Saccharomyces cerevisiae S288C: one gene and its partner. The protein of the gene in region 1 binds, or shares a complex with, the protein of each later gene. Each region holds a gene or a part of one and is shown in the gene's direction. Other genes may lie near its edges.

Region 1 (3,125 bases):
ATAACGGCCAAGCATTTCCAACTGACTGGATTTTCCATTGCGATGCCAGTCTCAAGTAAATAATTTAAAACTTTGGAGTCTTCGTCTATATTAATCTCAGAAGAAAATCTTAATTTTAAAATGAAATGCCAGATATCATCACTTGGAAGATTTGAATCGGTGATTTTAACGGCAACATTTATGATGTGAAATAACAACTCAAAATTTTGAATTACTTCTCTCTTTATTACTAGCAAATGGAGAAATTCCTGCAGTTGTTTAGAAGTTTCCAAAGTCATTAACCCATAGTGGATTCCTTTCGTTTCATTCCTAGTCTGTGCTAAGTCATTTTTCAGGCAAACACCAAAAATCTTTTTCTTCAAACCTTCCATTCTTATCACCGTATTTGCTGTCCCTTTGTGGTCCTCACTGATTAAAAAATCTTTGTTCTATTTTTCTTATTACCTTTAATGCTTCACGAATGATGTGAATGTTTTGCGAATGATGTGATTGAATCCATCTGATCCTGCTGCGAAATCGTAGTTTATTTAGCCGCTGAACCCTTTGAGCAAGTATTTATCGTTTTTAACGTTGAAAAAGTAGTCATATTCAAATTATATAAACCAGCCAATAATACGTTACTTTGCCTTTTTAGATCACACAATTAAGCGGATACAAGATCACCCATCATAAAGGGTTGGCAAACGCCATTGTTTTTGTCGAACCTTACCTGATATCTCCAGAAATCCAATGTATATCTTCTGTATGAAAATATGAATTGTGAGTGCACATGCCTTTTCTAACAGGGAAACCTGTTGTGATTTGTCATTGAATGTGATGAAAAGCTCCTCCAGTCGCCTCGGCTTGGCTTGGCTTGTCTTGGCTTTTTTGGTTTATTCTTTCTGTCCTGAGATAAAAATTGTAGTAAATCTATACTTCTGGAAGTTTCCCGCGACGAAAATGAACGAGGAAAATAAAAAATTTCATGTTTAAAATCCTGTAATTGATTGCTCTTCCACGCACAGTAAGTTGCAAAACCAGAAGAATAACTGAAAAACCCTAAGCAATCATGTCTAGTCGCCAAGGTGGTAAGATGAAGCCTCTAAAGCAAAAGAAGAAGCAACAACAGGACTTAGATCCTGAAGACATTGCCTTCAAAGAGAAGCAAAAGGCCGATGCTGCTGCTAAGAAAGCTTTGATGGCTAATATGAAAAGTGGTAAACCTTTAGTGGGTGGTGGTATCAAAAAATCTGGTAAGAAATAAAAGGCCTTTAACAACGTCTAATAAAAATTTACTCAGTATTTTCTAGTTCTCGTTTTTTAAGTAAATACATATATTACCAAAGAAAAGCTATTTGCAAGATATATCGTTCTTTCCGATGTTTTACAATCGTAATTACTATGTATAATGGTTACATCTAGCAAATTTGGAGGTTTCCTAAATAAAGCCCCTTGCGTGTCTCTCTAGAGGTACGAAAACAACTGATATATAATGGACCCTTTTCTATTGTGGTGACAGGCATAAGGATAAATATTTATAGATGGCTAAGGAAAATAAGAAAAATACTTCTCCCTATTCATGAACCGGGCATCTTGAGTAGAATAGGGTGCTTCTATTCGTTAGTGCTGGTATTAACTTCTAGTGAAAAATGGCCGAATAATTTCCGGGTAATAAAGCCTTCAGCACAGCTCAATTAGTGGAGGAAAATATTGCCCATATATAGATTGTTACTATGTATGATGTAAGAATATCACAATTGGGCACTTAAGGTTGTGTGAAAAGAAGTGTTTGAAGCTGTTGATTCTGAACAGTAAAAGATAAACAAAGAAGAGATTAACAATGAGCAGATCCGGGAAATCATTGACAAAGTACAAAATTGTTTTTTTGGGAGAACAGGGTGTTGGAAAAACATCGCTGATCACTAGATTTATGTATGATACGTTCGATGATCATTACCAAGCCACGATTGGTATAGATTTTCTTTCCAAGACCATGTATTTGGATGATAAGACAATTAGATTACAGTTATGGGATACAGCAGGTCAGGAAAGATTTAGATCATTAATACCTTCATATATCAGAGATTCGAGAGTTGCTATTATCGTTTACGACATTACGAAGAGAAAATCATTTGAATATATTGATAAATGGATAGAAGACGTTAAAAATGAAAGAGGTGACGAAAATGTTATATTGTGCATTGTTGGTAACAAAAGTGATTTATCAGATGAAAGGCAAATCTCAACCGAAGAGGGAGAGAAAAAAGCAAAACTATTGGGTGCTAAAATCTTTATGGAAACGTCCACAAAGGCAGGCTATAATGTCAAAGCTTTATTCAAAAAGATTGCCAAATCGCTGCCTGAATTTCAAAACAGCGAGTCAACTCCTTTGGATAGCGAAAATGCAAATAGTGCAAACCAAAATAAACCGGGAGTCATTGATATTTCTACAGCAGAGGAGCAGGAACAAAGCGCTTGTCAGTGTTAGCACCTAATATTTCAGTTCTATAGGGCATAAGGAGAACTCTTTGTGTGCGTCATATTTTTTAGTGAACTACCAGCACATAATAATTGTACTGATAATATTAATAATAATCATAATCATAATGTACTTGACGATCTGATGTGTAGGAGCTAGTACTCACTAAACATGGTTGTATTAAAGAATGGTATTAAAACTTTTTATAAAGAAGTATGGAGTGTATAAAGTTATCAAACAACAACAAAAACAACAACAACGTAAAAAAAATATAGAAGAAATAGAAATGACATATTCTAGTTTTTGATTAATTGTTCAGTACGAAGGAAAAGATTAAGTAAAGTGTCACATAGAATCGAAATCTGTGTCCACATAACGGCCATTTCTCAGTAACGTCTTGCATAAGCGTGGCATAATTTCGACTTGAAGGGGCTCTAGAGGAAATTTCTCGCCATCGACAGAGAACAAGCCGTTCCCTAGCTTTGGTATTATCTTGTATGCCAAAATTTTAGAGTGTAAGACTTCCGGTTGTAAAACATGGGAACCCTTATCTAGTCCCAGCAGGATTGGTGCCATCCTCGTCAACGAGGTTCTTGCATCGGTGATAACCATATCCATTGTACCATCTGAAGGAAGCGCTGCCGGAAAGAATTTAGTGTCAGCAGCC
Region 2 (3,758 bases), on another chromosome or scaffold:
ATTTTTGTGGGTGGTTATTTTCAAACCCTTGAAGAGAAGAATGGTCATCCTGTCTCTCACTGTTATAGTCTGTGACGAACTTGATTAAAATCCTTAGTAGTTGTGGTTGAGTAAATGCTAGAACATCATGAATTGCTTTAAAGAATGCGGCTAAAAGCATTTTAGATCCAAAAGTTCTGCATATAGCCCATGATAATGAAGGATTTGATTTTTGCTTCAACTCATTTTCCCAGTTTTTCTCCAATTTTTGAGAGAGTTCTTCACTACTAAAGTTCCTCGGTAATTTATATAAATCTGCTTCCACTAAGTATTTTTCATAGCCAGTTTTCATCAAACCTGACATCCAAGAGAAGGTAATCCTGGAAAATATGTTTGCGCTATCGTATGGATTTGGTTTTCTTCTTGTTAAAGTTTGATGTATGTGTTGATGTGGCATTAGCGGCTTCTTTGGAAGAGCTTCAAGTAACAGGATACTGGCACATGTTATTACTTGGAATAACGTTAGTATGAAACCCGTTTGTCCGGAATACCAAATGCCTTCGTAGGTGTGTCTAATTAGAATATTTATTAGTTTAGCAAAATTACCGAATGTTTCAAAAAGCCAATAGAATAAAAGTACCGTATTGGCTACAACTGATCTATCGTATTCTATCCAGTGTAAGGCTAAAGCAACAAATAAAGATAACATTGTAGAAGCATATTGACTTACAATGGTAAAGTTTTCCGCTTCTTCTTTAGAAATATTTAAAGACGCAAGTGAAACAAACGCTATCTCCAACAGAACTAGTGCCATCCTAGAGACAATAATCCAATTCCGCCTATATTTGATGCCAGAGTGTTTTTTCTTGCAAAGGTTAACTAAATCTCTGATACCGAAGGTTATCATGAAAATTGCTGATAGATTTAGGATCACACCGTCGATGAAGCATTGAGTAAAGTCACCGTAAAAGGATATAGGTCCAAACCCTTCAGGAGATCTACAGAGCTTGCAGGCCCATGAAACAAGATTACCAGCCATTTTCTTGTTCTTTACGGTAGTACGATACCCCTAATTTATTCTCAAACTGTTAATTGAAAAATTGTAGGTTGTAAACCAGCTTCCACATAGCAGATGATCACAAGAGGTTATCGCACCTTTTATAGCAGCTGCTAACTTTTTTCATCAATTTCGTAATTACTAAGCCGTAACCTTCCACCGCCCAAGCATCACACCAGGAGTTACATATTTTTGTATTATCATAAAGAAACACACGCCAAGATATCTACAGAAACCAGATGTTAGCATTAGATATATATATTCGTATTGATGCAGCATAACAAGCGTACTATGGATTGCAAAGTAATGTAGATTCCTGACCAGTAGATCTGCTCGCGCAAGAGAAACATTCATGAACTCTAACGACAATAACAGTAAATCCACCTCACGGAGAACGATAAAAGTCTTCATTTCTCCATGAGGTGGAAACGTTGTTTGAATATTAAACATAATACTTGAACTTCTTGTGTAATTTTTATTTTTTAATCGAAGTCTACTCCGAAGTCTCCTATAAAGCGTAAGGCGCGTCTCCAAAGTGCTATTTTTCAAGATCAATTCAGCTTCAAAGAAGCTTTGATACCTACGGGGCAATGCAAAGGCTGCCAGTCGAAACAAACAGCGAAAGCTAGCCCATAATTTCTTGAGCTGTTGATTTTGATTGTGATATTTTTCATACTTTAGAAGAAGATATGCGTGCGCACAGAATCGATACATTTCTCATAAGAGAAAACATCAAACTGGAGATCATACATGAATCGAATTCCTATTTTGGTGGAGAACATATATCAATTGCTTTCCGATTTAAGCACCTAGGCTCACAGCATGAATTGTTCAACTATAAAGAAAAGCTTCTCACTGTCGATAAAGCTGTTGAAGAGAAGTTGGAACAACAAGCGAAAGTGCAAGATGATGGTGAAGGCACGATGGAAAATCAAACCTGGTCCCTAAAATCATTACTAGGTGCCTTCAAAAGAACAGGCGAACCTGAAGAGAGTGTGGATGTGGATAACATGAAAATGCTAAATGAGAGTAAGATGTTAAGAGAAAAAATACAGAAGCAAATGTATTTTCATCAACCTGTAACGTTAATATCCGGTTATGTTCAAATATCGGGGGTCTTTCAATACGATTCAGAGGTAATTTCAGAGTCAAAATTTAAACAAGATGAAGTAAAAATGGTAGGACTAGATATTGTACCTGGACATACGACAAATTCTGTTCTTGCATTGGAAGATGGAGAACATTTCAAAGGTAAAAGAAATTTAACCAACTACCTCAACTCAGATTATACAAATGTGACCAATGGTCTTCTTTTCTCAGAAAGCGGTTCTAGGGGAAGAACAGGTACCTATAACGAACGGACCTTAATGATATCAAACGATACCAGTATAAAAACATTACCTCTTCTTTTAATACCACAGACGCTTTTATTTTCTGAAATTTCTTTAGAACCAGGTGAAGTAAGAACATTCTATTTTAAATCCACAAAGCTGCCAAAAGATATATGCCCAAGTTATTCATCGTCAAAAGTGGCATCAATAAATTACACGCTGGAGGTTGGTGCGGATGTACTTTCTGATGATAATATCGAGAAATTTTCAAATAGAGTCCCAATAACAATAGCACCATATATTAGTTCGAATGCCGAACAGTACACATCACGTCTGGATAAGCCTGCTATCATATTAAAGACAGGTAACATAAAGGAACTAAAGCCACGTTTGTTTACTCGAAAAGTTTCTACGGCTTCTGCTGTATCATTTGGTAGGAGAAAATCTTCTATAATTGACATTGATTCTCCATTAGAAGATAATGAATTTGTCAAGCGTGTCAAAAAAAACTTCATTGAACTGGTGGAATCTAACCAAAATGTGTCAAGAGATATAGACGAACTTATTGACTTGCAAATGGGGGTACAGTTCGGAAAGGATGAGGATTCTTCGGATCCTGAACCCAACGACTCACACTTTTCGAACGAAATGGTGACGTCTGCAGAGTCTAGCCTGAGAAGCGATGCTGTAACTAAGAGGAGAAAAAGTTATTCGGTACGCGATAACATTTCTAACCTCGAGCAAAAGATGTGGAACGATTGTTCTCTCGTTAAGTCAGATGAGAATTCTAATCTTCTACCTCAGCTAATTAATTTACAGAACGCATATCAAATTAACAGAAATAATGAGACTATGGCAAAAGTATCCTTATCAGCACCTTTTTATAAGACAACTGATGATATAAATTTAGTCATTGAATTAGATCCGATAACGACGCCTTTACTTAAAGTGACTTCGTTGACTGTATCCTTAGAATCGTTTGAAATTATAAATCCAAAATATAAGACTGAAGGAAAAGGAATAGGGAGCAAACCAAAAGGAAACTCGGTGTATGAGAAACATTTTATTTGTTTCGATGAGTGCAAGTCCGTATCGGTGAAATTACTTCCTCCAAGATCGCCTACAAACCAGATTACCGGACAATTCAAGACAGATGTTTTTCAACATAAGTGGATGATAGGACTAAAATTTGTAATAATTGCAAAGACAGAAAGTATCACTTTGGATCAATTTTATGAGGATAAAAAGGGCATCCTATTCCATTCAAAAGAGAATTTAGAAGGTGAAGAGTTTACATGTTACGTTCCCATTCCAATACTGTGTACATCCGAAGATTTCATGGGATGGTAAGCAATAAATGGGTGCAGTTTACTCGTATAATTGGTTTTGCA

The links. The genes of interacting proteins can lie anywhere in the genome.
Region 2: the proteins of YPT6 (region 1) and RGP1 are in contact, whole or in part, in a cryo-EM structure (PDB 9AYR), measured with the Saccharomyces cerevisiae proteins. Residues at the interface, in NP_013363.1 of Saccharomyces cerevisiae: Leu8 (codon at 1,841), Asn195 (codon at 2,402), Lys196 (codon at 2,405), Pro197 (codon at 2,408), Gly198 (codon at 2,411), Val199 (codon at 2,414), Ile200 (codon at 2,417), Asp201 (codon at 2,420), Ile202 (codon at 2,423), Ser203 (codon at 2,426), Thr204 (codon at 2,429), Glu206 (codon at 2,435); in NP_010421.1 of Saccharomyces cerevisiae: Gln462 (codon at 3,109), Gln487 (codon at 3,184), Asn488 (codon at 3,187), Ala489 (codon at 3,190), Tyr490 (codon at 3,193), Gln491 (codon at 3,196), Ile492 (codon at 3,199), Asn493 (codon at 3,202), Arg494 (codon at 3,205), Asn495 (codon at 3,208), Asn496 (codon at 3,211), Glu644 (codon at 3,655), Phe645 (codon at 3,658), Thr646 (codon at 3,661), Cys647 (codon at 3,664), Tyr648 (codon at 3,667), Val649 (codon at 3,670), Pro650 (codon at 3,673).

Annotation. Positions count from the first base shown.
Region 1 is NC_001144.5:667,586-670,710, reverse strand, and holds YPT6 (Rab family GTPase YPT6), read left to right. Parts: upstream 1-1,819; coding exon 1,820-2,467; downstream 2,468-3,125. Other genes in the region: RED1 (Red1p), read right to left, coding at 1-371; TMA7 (Tma7p), read left to right, coding at 1,049-1,243; VPS63 (Vps63p), read left to right, coding at 2,148-2,474; sphinganine kinase LCB5, read right to left, coding at 2,804-3,125. UniProt on the Saccharomyces cerevisiae protein: Protein transport. Might participate in post-Golgi transport.
Region 2 is NC_001136.10:726,534-730,291, forward strand, and holds RGP1 (Rgp1p), read left to right. Parts: upstream 1-1,725; coding exon 1,726-3,717; downstream 3,718-3,758. Other genes in the region: ATP-binding cassette glutathione S-conjugate transporter YCF1, read right to left, coding at 1-1,018. UniProt on the Saccharomyces cerevisiae protein: The RIC1-RGP1 complex acts as a guanine nucleotide exchange factor (GEF), which activates YPT6 by exchanging bound GDP for free GTP. It is thereby required for efficient fusion of endosome-derived vesicles with the Golgi.